Schizosaccharomyces pombe: one gene and its partners. Changing the gene in region 2 together with the main gene of any one other region gives a genetic interaction. Each region holds a gene or a part of one and is shown on either strand. Other genes may lie near its edges.

Region 1 (3,004 bases), 1.3 Mb from region 2:
TTTATTAATAATACCCAGTATTTTAAATTGGAAGCAAATTGCTGCAGTCCCGGCTTTTTAAATATTGAAAGCATATTAAATATACTCATATATGGGAGCATCAATACATTAAATTTATCAAAAGTTATTATTTTTTTTTGTTTTTACGTGACATAATAAAATGGAGAAAAGGAGCTCTAATCTGCTATTTAAAATATTTGTTAAAAAAAAGGCATCGACGATGAGAATTTAGCGTATTGTTCTGCATTGCGATATTTCTTTAAACATAGGGGTTCACGAAAGTACAGCCTCTGCCACCGTCTTTTAGGGGACTTTATTGTCATTGTGAAAGTACAGAAAAATAAGTGTTGGATTTTCTAGGAACTAAAAAATGGATTATCAAAACCGCGCAGGTGTTCGTTTTGGAGGAGGAGGCGTTGCTGGCTATCAAGAAACAAATGCTGCACGTAGAGAGCGTCTTCGTAAATTGGCGCTAGAAACCATTGATTTATCAAAGGTATGTTTAAAAACCACTGAATTCTGAAAATTTGAGTGCTGAATGTCAATTATAATTACCGATGAATTAATCGTGTAAAGTAAGACATGTACGTATGTTACATATTATTGAAGTTTATTAGTAGTTGCTGTTAAATTCGCTAACTATAACAACTAAAATAACAACAATAATAAATGAAAAGGATTTGCTTTCTACTTCCTTGTTTGCTGTTTTGCATGTTACACTAATTGGACATCTTTTTTTTACCCTGTCAATCACCTTGAAGCTTCCTCCTCAAACTCTTTGCGATGATATTTCTATTGCTAATCTCTTATAGGATCCATATTTGATGAAAAATCATTTAGGCACTTTTGAATGTCGTCTTTGCCTCACTACACATGCGAATGAAAACTCTTACCTTACCCATACACAAGGTAAAAAACACCAGACAAATTTAGCCAGGAGACAGGCTCTCGAAAATAAAAAGTCTCAAGAGAATGCACCACAAGTGTTGTTGGGCATTTCTCAATCCCATGTCCAGGTTAAAAAAAGTGTCGTAAAAATTGGTCGACCCGGTTATAAAGTGTCCAAAATAAGAGAAGCCGAAAGCGGAAAATTTGGCCTACGTTTCCAAATAAAGTATCCAGATATTGAAGTGAACGCTAAGCCAAGATACAGAATTATGAGTGCTTATGAACAGCGTGTTGAAGCTCCTGACCGAAAGTTTCAGTATCTGGTAGTGGCTGCTGAACCATACGAATCAATAGCCTTTAAAATTGGTATGTTGGTTTTACTGATTTTTTATTTATATTAACTTTGTTGCGCAGATGCTCACGAAATAGATCGTGCACCCGGGAAATTTTGGAGTTATTGGGATGCACCTACATATACTATCCAATTCTTTTACAACTTAACAAAAATATCGTAAATTTTGAGCTGCTATCCTAAATTTCCTTTTTATGAAACAAAATGTCTTTTCCAAATATTTCGCTCAGTCTCCCAATTTATCAATACCGCAGTTCTTTATGTGTGTAAAAGAATTCGAACTCAATCATTCTGAATTGTTTCTCCACACGTGAATTGTAGAAGAACCGTGCTAGCTAAACCTATTTTGGTGATTTATATACTTATTTTCCCAGATTTGTGGAAGTACCAATTGATAAAGTTGGCTAACTTCTACTGTATGGCGTTCGATAAATTAGCAAATGTCGCTACAGTGGACGCGATTTTTGCGATATCTAGCTCAACTTTCCTTTGGTCTACATGGGTTCTACAACGGACAATATTAAAACGGCCTAATTTTTTTTCTCCAAACCCAGTTGTTGAGAAAATGGTGCATCCAACTTTGATTACTTGGAAATTGTTTTCATTTACATCAGTATTAACTGTTTCAACCTTTACCTTCGCTTCCTGTTTGATAATGCGAACAATTGGTGTTGAAAATATAAAAGAATTTGGTCTTTATGCTCGAGAAAAGCTTAGTTTTGCAAGAGCAAAGCCAGTTAAGGATGACATTACCAGCTTTCCTAATCACAAAATTAGTATCACTTAAATTGTATACTATAAAAAGTAATTACGTGTTTATTTTACACTTTTTAAAATGTACACGGCTTCCCTCTTTCAGTCAAGTCATGATACCGTTATATGAATATTCTATAAATTAATGGGAATCCCTTTATAAAAGTCACAAAAAGCTATGCGTTTATCATAAATGATTGTATATGGCTTCATTGCAGGCAATGAACATAAGCCTCCAAATTCCTGAGTCCATGAGCTTTGGGAAAATTACTTAAGAATGAGTAATTTGTCATTTTTGAAACTTGGCTTGTAGCCAGCAACGGTACATCTTGACTCTTTTTTTTCGGTTTACAATAAGCCTAGTATGGAGATTAGTTCAGATTCGCAAAGCCGTTTGAAAATTTACCTTTTGTCAACTCCATTTTGAATAATTTTGAAATTTTTTCCAAAAACATCCACTAGTTCTTCTATTGCAAAGTTAGTAATCATTAAGGACTAATAATAGTTTTCGTTGACTTTACCGTTTGTCATGTAATACACTCTTGTACCATCACCTCTTATGTAAAAATTTTCACTTAAAATTCTGTTCTTTTTAGCTCTTAGCTGCGTCAAATCTAAACGACCATAGTCACGAAATAAAATTAATCCTCCAGGCTTTAATAATCGATACAAGTTTTCTATAGCTTGTTGCCATTGATCGGGGGACAATGCTGAAAAACAGAAAATGAGTGTAATCGCATCAATAGACGCTTCTTCAATGGATCTTAGTAAGTCTGATCCTGCCAGATCCCAAACCGAAGCACTGCAAAACTTGGCATCGTATAATGGGTTCTGTTTAACAACATCAATGGCCTTTTCTGAATAATCAACAGCAAATATTTTAAGATTTGAGTTTTTGTTTTCCTTCAAAATTGGCCAGATAGTGTTTCCAGCACCGCATCCAATTTCTAAAATTGATTTTTCTCCTGCATCTTCTTTTAGCAAGTCAAGAAGCTCTGGGAACTCTTGCGC
Region 2 (5,935 bases):
CTTTTACTTACGCGTATGCAAAATACTGTACCTTTACCCTTGAATGGATTTGTCGGCCAGGTCCTACTTCGACGTGTTTAGGAAAATTGACTTGAAATGGAATGTCAACTGTTGAATGATTGGGAATACTGATTATCCGGTTTTTCCCCCTTTTTTTAGCATAATCTAAGAGTTCTTCTGGTACAATGTATTGCCCTTCCATGATGTGAGTTCCTAAACACAGGAAGACTGTTGACGAATGAAACTTGTGTTTACATATTCCAATTATAAAGACTTCGATACTGATCAGCTGAATTTCGTTTACTTTTGACTTATTAGTTAGTGTTAGCAGCCCGTCTATTCCTGCTTTTCGGTGGAAAATTGGTGCATCAAAATCCAAAGTAAGATTGACATCTTTAGTTTCCATTTGCGGGTTGGCAATTAAATCAAATATAATTTCTTTACCAGCATAACTAGTATTAATACATGTAATTACTGGTTCTTTACTAAATCGAAAGAAGCGCTTTCCTTTCTTCCACAAATCCATGTTATCTAGTTGGGTATTTGTTTGTTTACTTGTTCTGATTATTTAACCACGATTGGAATAACGAGCTTTGACAACATAAAACTCTGCGCTGAAAATAAATAATAACTTGTCAATAACTAAAGCTTTTACAATAATCCAAAAAATGGAATTTATATTGAAAAACTGATATTAGAATTTTGGCTACTATGTATCCGAGTTATGTATAGGGAACTCCAATTCCTGGAGAACTAGTGAACAACGATAGATACAGAGAATAACATGAGTAAAAATTCCAAAGACTTGAAGCACAGGCCGTGACATCAAGCGGTACATATCAAAAAATCATCCATCTAAAACTCTTCAAAGGCAACACCGAATTTGCATGAAGGATTTATATATATAATAAGGAAATAAATCATTGCAAAAAAATATAATTAGTTTAAAGTCGGTAAAGTCTGGTTGATAACTCAAATATTAACGTTCTTTTCTGCATTCGAATTGGGTTCCTCGTAATCAACAATTCCCGGATATTTTTGCTCAAATAACGTGTCGTTTAATTCCTCTGGAAAATTTGCAGGTCTATCACTTACGCTTCTGGAGGTTTCTGCACTTTGAATAGAAGCTACAGGCCTCAAATCGTTATTAAAAGACGTCTCTTGAATTTCTGTGTCTGTTAAATCTGGATTATGGAAACTTGAACTTGAGCGGTTAGCATAACTTCGTACACGCTCTCTTAATTCACTTTCACCTTCCAATCCTTCGTCAACATACTTGCTTGGAGAAAATTTAAAGTACGGATTTTTGTCATGAAAAGAAGGACGCTTCTTGTCAAGACTTGCCCGCTCACTATGTAAACTCACGGTTCTTTGTAAACCATTAAAAGTTCCAAAGTCGTCAACATCGGAGGCAATAGTGTTGGCAACAGAAGACGCGGTCGAAGTAGGATAAAGAATAGAGTTGGTTGAATCGGCAACAACGTCAGAAGCATTAATATCAGTACTAAGGTTTGACATATCTTGGGGTTCGATATTTGTCAAAGGATTGGCAGACTGTTGTGTGCGTTGAACGATATAGTCACCTCTAGTATTAGATGTTGTACGATAGAGCATAGTAGGACTGGAGGGGAGCCCCTCTTTAGATGTGTTTCTGGAAGTTTTGTTCGAATCTTTATGAGAAGGTGAATAATATTTGGAAAATGATTTGGCATGTCTAAGAGAATTATTAGAACCAAAATTAGTATTACTCAAATCATCAAGGTTAAAGGAGTGTTGCTCATAAGCCATAGAACGCGCATTGGGGCTCGAAGGTCCAGTAATTTTAACAGACGACCTAGAAGTGCTTGAAGGTCGTCTAGATACTGGACGATCAGGGAAATCAAAAGAAGACCTTACGCTACCAACCCCTTCCGAAAAATTTGTATCAAAGGCAGATATATCCTGAGTACCAGTGGTATGAGTACTATTTGCGGTTGAAGTACCAGCTGTCTGACGGAAACTAGCGAATGCATCATCAGCCAATTTTGCTATCTCTTGTTCCCTAGGGTTATGATGAGAACTAGTCGTAATATTAGTATGACTAGTAAGCTGTGACTCCAACTCATTTAGATCAGGATAACGCTGGTTAACAACTTCCTCAACGTCAACGTTATCGGCATCGAGTCCGGCGTTTGGTGAACCATTATCTTCTGTAACCTCGCTAGCAGAAAATTTTGAAGATGTTCCCGTGACTCCCTGAGATATTGGGAAGGGATTCTTACTTTGAGGTGTGTAGACTTTGCGACCACTAGCTCCTGAGCCAGTTACAGAACTTGATGAAACAACCTTCGGAGACGAAACACTCTGTCTGTTCACATCTTGAGTGTTGTTAAATGTTGCGGATTGGCTGTGGATAGAAGGATGTGCACTAGCTTGAGAAGTGCCAGAGAAAGTAGGTTGCAAAAATGGATTAGGGGAAACGGTTGGTACAGTCGGCACATTTGGTACGTTATAGATAGGAGCTGGCATAGGAGGAGGAGGGGGAGGTCTTGAGCCCTGAACCTGTGGAGTCGGCATGACTTGGTTTCCAGCAAACGGTGTTGTTGTTGTTTGTCGAAGCAAAGACATTATTTTCCGGTTATGCAAATCATAAAAAGACGACTCTCTTCCACTGTATATATCCCTAAAAGGTAAAGCCGTCCCTCTAAGACGACATATCTCACACATCAACTGAAAAATATTTGGACGAAGACAAGGATTCGGCTGAAGTAAAGCGATGATGACATTTTTAAGAGAATGTGAATAAGGAGGAAATGGGGGGAAGGAATATGAAGCTGTTAATATAGCGTTAGGACCTTGTGTTTCAAAAGGAGTTGTATAGTAACAGAGTTTGTATAACAAGACTCCTAAAGCCCACATGTCACTTTTCTCATCAATTCCTAAGCCTGAATACAAATTAATCATCTCAGGGGCACGATATTGGTAGGTAGTAAATGTGTTGATACTTTTTTCTAATGCTTGAATTTCGCTAGAGTTTTCAGCAGCATGCATTGGCTCAGTCACACTTCCAAAATCGCACAATTTAAAAGTATTAAAGCTTAGCAAAACATTTTCTACTTTCAGATCGCGATGAATGAGAGGAGGTCTCAGATAGTGTAAGGAAGCAACACCCTGTACAATATCTGAAATAATTTTTAAGACTTCATGCTCTGACAACCGAGTTTGTAACCTTTGATTCATAAAATCTATCAATCCACCCCCAGCGCAGTATTCCATCAAAAGCAGGATTTCAAATCCAGTGTTGACACCCGCTTTCTCGAGAGGAAATATGCAGGAGTCGATATACGAAACCACGTGGGGATTGGATTTGAGTAGTTCCTAATAAGTTAGACAAAAAAATCAATAACGTTAACATACCATCGTTTCGATTTCAGTTTTCACGAAACGCAGGGCATTCTCGTCTGGAGAATACATGCGTTTCAAAACAGCAGTTATCGGTGATCCATCAGTTTTGGAATTTGTTTGAACAAGATATACATGAGAAAAGCCGCCTAATGAAAAATGTTAGTAAAATAAATCTTTCATTGTAATACTCCTCGATCCATCCAACCCAAAAATTATACCTTCGGCTATGTACTTTTCGATAGTAACATTGTATTTTCCAATTACAAACTTGGATCCTGCTAGAAGCTTTTCGCCCGTGAGAAAGGATGCAACAGACATCCTAGAGAGGTTTTTTGTTCAATACTGGCTGAAGTCGCGAGGTTATTGTTTACACTCTCGCAATTCAATGGGACAGCATCCGAAGCCCTATCTACGTTAGTTGTAAATTTATTATAATAACTTACTCTTTGAAAAGGCTGTATTTACACAGTTTTGATCAAGATGAGCAAGGGATGCCAATTCTGCTGTTGGCAAGGTACTGAGCCAGTCACCAAACACCACAAGTCCCTTCTATAGGGTTAACCTTTGAGCCATTACCGATAGATAAAACCGCCCCCCACAAGACAACTTGCCGTATTTTGAAAATTTCAACTACAACTTTTAATAATTTGAGCTGATTAAGAAGAGAAATTAATTTTACAGTATACTCAAGTTCACAGGCAAACTTGTAGAATCAAGTTGAGTAACATCGTTACCCAAATTTATGACATGGCAAATTCACAGACATATAAATCCAGAAAAGAATAAAGAAAACAGAAACTGCTAACGACTATGTTCATTGTAACTAAATATTAAATCATGAGGGAAAAAAGTATATGGTCCTCATAAAAATAATTTATGAAGAGATTAAAATCGCGTTGCTTGAGTTCGTATTCTCGCATACGATCTTGCTGAACGATGGACACTCCGAGTCTTACTGTAACTTCTTATGACTAATGAGCTTTTTTTTTAAATTTGATCTTTGTTTAGCTATACATGAAACCGCTTTCTCAGATAAGAAGAGGTCTCAAATTTTCAACATTCGACGTGATTAAACGAATTTATATAAATCAAATGAAGTTAAAAAAAAAGAAAGGATTTCATAAAAATTCGTAGCTCACCTTACACACATTTGAACAAATACAAGCTGGGAACTTTTACTGAAGTCAATAACTTATTTTGCTAAACGAAGCTTATGTTGTAATTAACGAATGCTTAATTACAAGCTGCACATAACAACGATTCGCAGTATACTGAATAGTGAGAATCCGTATACAGAACGACTTGTTCGAGTTTTGAAAACAACGTCTCTGCGAAAACAAAAACGACATAAATCGTTGTTTTTTGTCTTTTGTAATATTTTAAACCCAAGCTATAGTAAGTGGTACCAAAAAGTAAATGTAATTCTTGGATTTGCGTCTGGTGATGGTTGCATGGAATACGCGATGACATCTTGTTCTTTTTTAAATTACAAATCGATTGTTAGTAGCAAAGCTAACCCTTCCAGCTAAAACTCATAATGACTTCTAATAGAAGTACTAGAAGCTCAACTAAAAGAGAGGAGGTCTCAAAAAATGGGGTTGAAAAAAGAGAATTAGATGAATCAGATGTGATGAAAAATGGCAAAAAGCCGGTTAAACGTGCAAAGGTCAGCTCTCTACCCAAACCCGTTCGTGTCCCAGGAAGCGCAAAGCGAATTAATAAGATACCTGAACTACCTACGGAACGATTGAACGTTTACGTCTTTGGAAGCGGTTCCATGAACGAGCTAGGTATGGGCGAAGAAGAAATGGATGTCGTTTATCGTCCTCGTTTGAATCCTATTTTATCTACAGATAAAGTAGGAGTAGTCGATTTGGCTGTTGGCGGCATGCATTCTGCAGCCCTTTCTCATGACGGTCGCGTATACACCTGGGGAGTTAATGATGACTATGCCCTTGGTCGTCTTACTAAGGATCAAAAGGATGAGAATGGAGACAAAGTTGACAATGATTTACTAGAGGGAACTCCTTCTAAGGTCGAAGGTGCTTTATCTCATCTACGCGTTACAAAAGTTATATGTAGCGACAATCTCACTGCAGCAATAACGGACAATGGCTGCTGCTTTACTTGGGGTACTTTCCGTGTAAGTAATTTGTTTTGGCCGTGAAAAATTATCATTTGATCTTTGATTCCAAATTCAGGTGCTGTTATCGTTGCAGTGTTGTTTATAGTCTATTGACTCATTGTATCATTTCCCTTCGCCCTTTTGGAACAAATGGCTTTATAAATTTATCATTTTTCGTTTGCTAACATACTAGTGTTCCGATGGTGTATTAGGGTATAGCGATTCTCAAAAACGTACAGCTGAACCGACGCAGATGCGACTTCCCGAAATTTGTCAATTAGCTACAGGGACGGACCATATTATTGCCTTGACTACCACAGGAAAAGTATATACATGGGGTAATGGTCAACAGTTTCAACTGGGTAGACGTATGTTAGAACGTCGTCGACTTCAAGGCTTGACTCCTCAACCGTTAGCTTTAAAAAA
Region 3 (3,472 bases), on a different chromosome or scaffold from region 2:
ATTGGTACGATGGGTTTAGCATTAAGTTTTTGAAGTTGGTCAGCTCCCGTATTTGCAACGAAGTGTCTGGTGTTAATCGTGTATTGTATGACATTAGCAGTAAGCCTCCGGCAACTGTCGAAATGGAGTAATAATGTTCCTAACAGCATACGGTACCTTTTGTTACATCTTTTATACTTTTGGTTAGAAATTTGTTTAGTTCTTGGATTCTAGTGGCAGGTAGTAGTAAATAAGTTTAGATGAGGTTAAATAATAAACATCTAACAGCTTAAAAAATTTATGAGTAGGCATGTGCCCGAGTGTATGTTTTGAAATTATCAATTCGGTGCTAAGACCGTCCTATTGAAAATAAATACTAGACGTTTTCATTAGGTCCTGCTGGTTTCATTCTTAACACTTGTATAAATGCGCTCTTTAGAAGAGGAACTTACTAAACTTTGTACGCAAATAGTAGAAAACTCAATTATTTAAAGAAGTAGAGATATCCAGTAGTATGCGTTTATTCCGAAATTGAGCATTAAAATTCACATATTAAGAAAAAAAAATCAAAACCAAAATCTTTTACTATTATTTAAATAACATATCCTATCATCTAACATTTCTTGTAATACTTATAAAGTGACCAATTTACATAAACATATCGGATGAACCAGGTGGCATGAAGTCATCATTGTCAGGTTCACCGGGAAATTGAGATCGCGGGCCTTTAAAAGGAAATTGAGGTTTCCTCTCATCCCTGCCGAATCCACGAAAATCACCAGGGCCTGTGGGATCGTAACGAGCTCCTGGTGGTATATTAGTTCGGTTTGCTGAAGCTTGTTCATTTCGAGACCTGTTTTCAGGATGAAAAATAGGATGATTGAATGTAGGAATCATACCTCCATCGTTGCCCATATCAGATCCTCCGATTCCTGCTGGATACAAATCACTTGCTCCTATAGAAGGAAACATTGGTTGTGAGCCAGGCATTGCACCAAATGGTCCAGCAAACCCAAATGGAGCTCTGCTCTTCTCCTGATATGATTCATAATTTAACTCATTAGCCGAGGTATCTTTAGCGGTACGTGCAGCATGTTCAGCAAGCCGATTATCTGTATCAACTGGACAAACCTCTGCAACTAAAGATTCCAAATTCCAAGGCTGATCATCATCTAAACGGAAAATCCTTGTAGCTGTGATATTTGATGAAGTATTAGCACACAAAATATAAATCCATTTATTCCAAAATATTAAACGAGTAGAAACATTCTGAGACTCATTTACAATGTAGTTGAATTCACTGTCTTCAGTTAAGCTTTCAGTGACTTCTTGCAAAACATCTCCGTTTCGTAATTTACAGTTTTTAAATATCGCCCCAGTGTTTAGCATGGATTTATGGCATTTTTGTTGGAAGCGTAAACGATCGTCGGAAGTCGGGTTATTCATGATCAGTGAAAAATAATATAAATAAATATATACGAAAAACCAATTGTATTACTTGGGTTCAGTGAACAAAGGAAAAGTACATCACTTTGTACGTACTGTGTGTGTGTCTTCGTGAGGTCGCTTCTGTTGTGTCATTTATATTACCAAGTGGCAATCAATGCATGGCGACTACTAGAGGTGATGAGATTGAAGTCAAATGATTTCACTATTAAACTTGGTATATAGTAAGTAGAAAAGTAATCTGGCTAAATAACTTTTTCCAAAAAAAAGCACACACTGTGTGTTTTGCAACTGAAGAAAACTTGCTGTTCAAAGTGAGCAGGAAACTAGAAACTGATTGAAGATAAAGATACCTTTAATGTTATAATAGAATTGTTTTGCAACTGCACATTCAGTTCGTTATCTCGTTTCCCTAAAAAATAATATTGTAAAGTCGTTCGCTATATAAATCCTAAAGATAATCATAAAATTGAAGATTTGTTTTCCTTAAGCTCTGCTATCATCTTCGTCAAAGTGCCTGAGCTACGAAGTTTGTTCAAATCGGAATTGCCTTTATATAATGTATTAGTAATAAACAACAGAGAAAAACCAACGAGAATATTAATGGTCAAGGAAAACAAATTTGGGTTCATACCTCCAATGAATTGGTTGCGAAAGAATATGCTGGGTACTGTAGACTGTTTGGTCTTTTCATGTAAATAAGCTGCTCAGGTAAGCATATGATAAAATCAGTTTGTTAACTAAACACACCTTGGATGTCAGATCCATTTTCTAGTGTAACATCAAGTTAGTTAAAAAGGATGAAAAGCAGAACAAAAAACTTGAAATGTTTCGCTATTTCTCAAGATCATGGAAGGAAACAAAAATTTTCGTAGTTTCATTACACAATTATGAGGTTTCGAAAACCCAATTAGACTATTATTTCATATACTTAATTTATGTAGACATAACTCAAGAAACTTTACAATCGATCAACTGAATCTTCAGCTCTTAAACAAATGAAGAATACCATACTTACCTATTTTATCTAACTCATAAGCCTTATACGGAGCAGAGTACTTTGTAAGAGTATTTTTGGCTGCTTTGCAGAAAGGACAGAACGATTTACTAAAGACAGTAACCGGATTGTTTGAGATCGCCTTTTCAACAAAAGCTTTTGCTATAGAAGTCATTTCAGCTTAAATAGGTATTCGTCTAAAAATGCAGTGGATATTGGTGACAAGTAATACAGTATGACTATCGAGGTGTTGGGCTACCTAACACCAAACGACACGATTAGGCAGTTAGATGTGATAAACAAAAACTCGAAATTACAAGAGTTATTTCGAAATATATTTAGTACACCAGTAAGCGAGTACAATCAAATGTTAAATACGCTATCACGAAGTTATAACTGCAGTATCGTACACTACACCCTAATTCACTAATTAGAAATAACGGTATATATTTTATTAGTTGTTCAATGCAAGAGATTGAACGGTTTTTGCTAGTTCGTCGTTGGTTTCTGGTGTATCGAATTTCAAAGTAGAAAAATCTTTGCTAAAAATTGTTAGTAACCTAGATAGTTGTGATGACGTTGAACAGTCATATATTGTCTGAAACAACGTAGGTAATTATACAGAAGTTGACCAAACTAAAGAAAGAACGATTGTCACAAAGATTGTATATAGTTTTTGGAAAGAATACTCATTAAACGATCCATGCAACCATCCCCAACCTAGTTTTTACAACAAAGTACTTACTGCATAGCATAAGCATCTTCACCATCAGCATAATATTTGCTTTCAATCCCTTGAACGCTAAAATAATGTTAGAATCTCTTCAATGATGGCGAGTAAAAACATACTCAAATTGCAAAGTATCACGATAAAGATGAATAGCAGCTCTGTTGCTTTTACGAACATGAAGACTCATATATTTGGCGCCATAAACTTCGACCATGGCTCTTTCTGTTCATTTAAGTAGTTAGTATCTTTTACTTTTTTTAAAAAAATTTTGTTTAAGGAATGGACCGAAAATATCAAGGAATCAGCAGGAAGGAAACATT
Region 4 (4,823 bases), on a different chromosome or scaffold from region 2:
ACACGATATATGAAGTCAATTCTACCTTCCTCAATATGATTTCATAATTCTCATGTAATACAAGTTTTGCTAATAAATTAATTGAATTCATACATCTATCAATAAGTAAGCAAAAACTACCTAAATAACATTCAAAATATGTTTTAATAGCCTTCGAGCTCAACATTTGAATAGGAAAACGAGATATCGTTTCTCTTCAACACCAAGTCTTTTATTTTGAATTCCGGTATGTAAATATCAAGATTTTTATTGTTCCTCCTCTTTTAGGCTAATGAGTTACAATATTTACTAAATGTTAATTGAAACATCCGATTTTACCCGGAAGTAATAGATAGACTGTGTGCATAAGATCAAATGCAGTACTTTGATTAAATACTAGACTTCCAATAATTTTGCAATACCTTGTTAATTCTTCATCTTGAATAAAACATACCCTTAATGTTTTTCTGCTGCTGGTTCCTTACTCTTTTCTGTTTAACGAGAATTTTCCTTTTGATATGGCAAAGGTTTTGCATGTGAAAATGACATTATTCTTTAAAAAATTCCATAAAAAAAAGAATTGTAAACTGTTGGAATTTTAAGATCCAGAAGTTTTTTCTTTGAAGCACACAAAGGTTTAAAAAACTTACATTCATCGATTCAACGCCATTATTTAAATTCCGTGCAAATATTTTACTCAATTATCCTATTTTAGACTCTATTTTAATAATCATATATACTTCAGCTTGCTTATTAGAAGGCCAAACACTTTGGCTATTTGTTTACCAAGGAAATGAAGGAATTGCAGATCCTTAATATTGAAAAAAGCAAAGCATTACTGTTGTTATTTTCTAATTGTTGGACCCGACATATGTTTTTGTTGTTACCATAAAAATGCTCTTGTATTGCTTATACAGGTCCTTCTTTATTTAATTTCTGAATATCTCGTTTTTGTTTCTGACAATTTAAACTAAAGACACAAAAATTAGTAATTAAAGAATGTTTATTTTTTATTAAACATCAATAACTCACAGTCTTTACTGTTTTAGTCATACATTGAATTGTGCCTTCTGAAGAGATCCTTATACTCTCATTGGTCATTGGCCATTGGGATATTCTCTATCCATATGGTACCTTAGTAGAAGTTTTGTAACTCATCTTCAACAATCGTCTCTTCTTCTTACGATTTAGCTGTTTTTTATAATTTTCTCATGTTTTTTTGTTCTTAAAAATTTCTTTCTAATGTTTCGTACTTTGAAAGCTTCACAGAAAAGGTCACTCGTGAACTTGATGTTCGGAACGACTGCTCTTTTCGCAACTGCCACCGTAATTTTCCCTTCATTACTGCCTTGTCCAGCTATGAAGAACCCATATTTGGATACCCAATCTGATCCTGGATATGAAGAATTACCTGAAAACTCTCGTGTTATTGTCATCGATCAACAATCTCCTAAAAGCTCTCTAGTTGCTTCCAAACAAAACAATCCTCCTTCAAAATCTTAATATAGGTCATCATAAAGCTTGAGAAATATTTTTATTATTGCATATATCAATCTCTCCCTTCTCTTCCTTCTTCATTCAATAGTTTCTAGGATTCCTTGCTTCCCTTTTGCGCTAGGTATTTCCCTAACCTACGTTTAGGGACTCCATAATATAATTTAAATACATTTTTTTTACTTCGAAACATCTTATAGTGATTACTTTCGTGTCACTATTAATATTTTTAGTACACTGACTTAAGTTATCTTAACATTTTAGCCCGCACATCTCGGCTGCGCATTAGGTTCTGGTATCTTGCTGTGGTAGTAGTATTTGTACTAGTAAACCCACTTAACGTCCTTACTATATACAGAAAGGTACTGCCGGTTGCTTCAATTCTTAATTATTTTTCTATTATTGCCTTTAGAGTACTCTAGTCAACTCTCAGCATCGCCAGGTTGTTAAAAAAAAGTTAGTTTACCTTTCACTTGGTGCTTTATATGCTTGATACAATTCTTATAAATGGTAAGTTTCCGTTATTCTTTACTTTCAGGTGCACATATAGTAAATCGAATACTATAACAGGCTATACGGATGAATGACACAAGCTACTCATTTATAGCATCAGCCATTTTGAAAACGTGCATTTTTTAACTGAACAAAAAATTGAGTTTGGAGTTTTACCATACGAAATGCTTGCCTTTTTTTTCTTCCATTATTTGTCAGTCTTTTTTTCTGCTTAATCGTTTTGGGATAGGATCTCGATCGCTCTTTACTAGCATTCAGTTCGTCAATACATTTTGGCATTGAATTAGCGGTTATGCGTTACGTTACTTTGAATAACTTCGAATGATGTTTTTCTCTTTATATAACATTTGCATTTGCAGCCAGCAATGTAAAATCTTTCGCCTTTCTTTTTTCTTTAATTTGGCGTCTTTTAATTAAGCAATGCCAGATTCTAAGCATTGGGTTATTCTCCGTATAGCTTATTGTTTAGTTACCAAAATTATTTTTCAACTTTTATTCTGACAATGTTTTAGTTTTTCGTCGAGATGGCGATGACGACGACGATGATGGTCAAGACCCTGCTTTGCAAGAATTATACTCAAGCTGGGCTCTTTTCATATTACTAGTCCTTTTGATTGGTGCCTTGCTTACTAGTTACTATGTTCAATCCAAAAAGATCCGGGCCATTCATGAAACTGTAATTTCGGTATTTGTTGGTATGGTTGTTGGGCTTATCATTCGCGTTTCTCCGGGATTGATTATCCAGAACATGGTTTCTTTTCATTCCACATATTTCTTCAATGTTTTGCTTCCCCCGATTATTCTCAATTCCGGTTATGAATTGCATCAGGTATATAGTTTTGAGTGAAATGCTATACTAAAGTCTCCATTTCTTTCCTTTATCTTTTTGTTATACTTTTCTAACCAATATAGTCAAATTTCTTTCGTAACATTGGTACAATTCTAACATTTGCCTTTGCTGGTACCTTTATATCTGCAGTCACCCTGGGAGTCCTAGTCTACATTTTCTCCTTTCTTAATTTTGAAAACCTTTCTATGACTTTTGTTGAAGCCTTGTCTATGGGTGCAACTTTGTCCGCTACAGATCCAGTTACTGTGCTTGCTATTTTCAACTCGTATAAGGTGGATCAAAAGTTGTATACTATTATTTTTGGAGAGAGTATCCTTAATGATGCTGTTGCAATCGTAATGTTTGAGACGCTGCAGCAATTTCAAGGAAAAACTTTACATTTTTTTACCTTATTCAGCGGTATTGGAATTTTTATTATCACATTCTTTATTAGTTTACTTATTGGAGTTTCTATTGGGCTCATAACTGCGCTTTTGCTAAAGTATTCTTATTTACGCCGTTATCCTTCTATAGAGTCTTGTATTATTCTCCTCATGGCATACACCTCCTACTTTTTTTCAAACGGCTGCCACATGTCAGGCGTAGTTTCCTTATTGTTTTGTGGAATAACGCTAAAGCACTATGCCTTTTTCAACATGTCATATAAAGCAAAGCTTAGCACGAAGTATGTTTTTCGGGTTCTTGCGCAACTCTCGGAAAACTTTATCTTCATTTATCTTGGCATGTCTCTGTTTACCCAGGTTGACTTGGTTTACAAACCAATTTTTATTCTGATTACCACAGTAAGTCAATTTACACTTATTTTCTTTACTAACTTGCCTAAGGTTGCCGTTACCGCATCTAGATACATGAACGTGTTTCCATTGAGCAATTTGCTCAACAAATTCCACCGTCAGAGAAATGGTAACCTCATTGATCATATACCTTACAGTTACCAAATGATGCTTTTTTGGGCGGGCCTACGAGGTGCAGTTGGAGTAGCGTTGGCAGCAGGCTTTGAAGGAGAAAATGCTCAAACGCTGCGAGCGACTACATTGGTTGTTGTCGTCTTGACCCTAATTATATTTGGCGGTACTACTGCCAGAATGCTCGAAATTTTGCATATTGAAACTGGTGTAGCGGCTGATGTTGACAGTGACACAGAAATCGGCATGCTACCTTGGCAACAGTCACCAGAGTTTGATTTGGAAAATAGCGCAATGGAGCTATCAGACGCTTCTGCTGAACCAGTTGTTGTCGACCAACAATTTACGACGGAACATTTTGATGAAGGCAACATTGCACCTACACTTTCTAAGAAGGTTTCAAGCACATTTGAGCAATACCAACGAGCAGCTGGTGCTTTCAACCAATTTTTCCATTCTTCACGAGATGATCAAGCTCAATGGTTAACGCGCTTTGATGAAGAGGTCATAAAACCAGTGCTTCTGGAGAGAGATAACCTTAAAAATGGAACAAAAAAATAATTGTTCCGATTCATAGAATTAATAGTCTACTTATGTTTACACAGTATATGTTCGTGTCAGTTTAATGAATATGCTTTTGGTCTTACGACCTCGTTTCTCCTTTTATCATTTATGAATTTTTAAGAAGGATTTTTTAATGAACTGATCTATTAAAATTCCCGTTGACTTATAGTTGACGTCTATGGTGTGGCATTCGCACATTACACGTACCCAAGTCGATGATTTTCCAACAACTACCAATTTCTTCCTTACTAACATTTTAAGCATGTCCGTAGTCTTTAGGACCGTAGAAGATCCTGAATTAAAGAGTATATGCACCACATTTACCTCTAGCATATCTGCTGAGTTTGATTCAAACACACTCGTATGTGATTTAGTTGAAACAGACCTTTTTACCGAAGAAGGCACATCTCAGATATTTACCTTTAAGAAGAATGTCCTCATTTTGCCAGCAAATGTTCCTGAAGGAATTGAATTACGGATTCTTGAAGAAAATGTTAGTCTTCCATTGAAGGAGTTTG

The links.
Region 1: mutations in ppk29 (region 2) and SPOM_SPBC21C3.06 together harm fitness less than expected from each alone (positive genetic interaction), as found in Schizosaccharomyces pombe (one large-scale study listed by BioGRID).
Region 3: mutations in ppk29 (region 2) and fub1 together harm fitness less than expected from each alone (positive genetic interaction), as found in Schizosaccharomyces pombe (one large-scale study listed by BioGRID).
Region 4: mutations in ppk29 (region 2) and SPOM_SPAC15A10.06 together harm fitness more than expected from each alone (negative genetic interaction), as found in Schizosaccharomyces pombe (one large-scale study listed by BioGRID).

The regions. Positions count from the first base shown.
Region 1 is NC_003423.3:3,805,432-3,808,435, forward strand, and holds SPOM_SPBC21C3.06 (uncharacterized protein), read left to right. Parts: upstream 1-1,658; coding exon 1,659-2,027; 3' UTR 2,028-2,282; coding exon of another isoform or gene 2,283-2,352; 3' UTR 2,353-2,399; coding exon of another isoform or gene 2,400-2,460; 3' UTR 2,461-2,487; downstream 2,488-3,004. Other genes in the region: U2 snRNP-associated protein Sap62, read left to right, coding at 371-496, 813-1,254, 1,318-1,403; trm140 (tRNA (cytosine) methyltransferase), read right to left, coding at 2,283-2,352, 2,400-2,460, 2,515-3,004.
Region 2 is NC_003423.3:2,489,815-2,495,749, reverse strand, and holds ppk29 (Ark1/Prk1 family protein kinase Ppk29), read right to left. Parts: upstream 3,905-5,935; 5' UTR 3,828-3,904; exon of another isoform or gene 3,790-3,827; 5' UTR 3,703-3,789; coding exon 3,603-3,702; intron 3,531-3,602; coding exon 3,397-3,530; intron 3,358-3,396; coding exon 973-3,357; 3' UTR 532-972; downstream 1-531. Other genes in the region: SPOM_SPBC557.05 (arrestin, meiosis specific), read right to left, coding at 12-526; pim1 (RCC1 family Ran GEF), read left to right, coding at 4,922-5,527, 5,703-5,935.
Region 3 is NC_003424.3:3,730,396-3,733,867, reverse strand, and holds fub1 (PI31 proteasome inhibitor domain-containing protein), read right to left. Parts: upstream 1,534-3,472; 5' UTR 1,426-1,533; coding exon 628-1,425; 3' UTR 505-627; downstream 1-504. Other genes in the region: GMP synthase Gua2, read left to right, coding at 1-131; glutaredoxin Grx2, read right to left, coding at 1,887-1,975, 2,060-2,128, 2,176-2,196, 2,444-2,597; NatA N-acetyltransferase complex catalytic subunit Naa10, read right to left, coding at 2,877-2,964, 3,168-3,224, 3,272-3,374. UniProt on the Schizosaccharomyces pombe protein: May play a role in the establishment of transcriptional silencing boundaries, preventing the propagation of heterochromatic silencing.
Region 4 is NC_003424.3:3,686,824-3,691,646, forward strand, and holds SPOM_SPAC15A10.06 (CPA1 sodium ion/proton antiporter), read left to right. Parts: upstream 1-1,823; 5' UTR 1,824-1,958; coding exon 1,959-1,983; intron 1,984-2,498; coding exon 2,499-2,815; intron 2,816-2,898; coding exon 2,899-3,618; exon of another isoform or gene 3,619-3,660; coding exon 3,661-4,302; downstream 4,303-4,823. Other genes in the region: cytochrome C oxidase assembly factor Coa2, read left to right, coding at 1,222-1,482; SPOM_SPAC15A10.07 (uncharacterized protein), read left to right, coding at 4,568-4,823.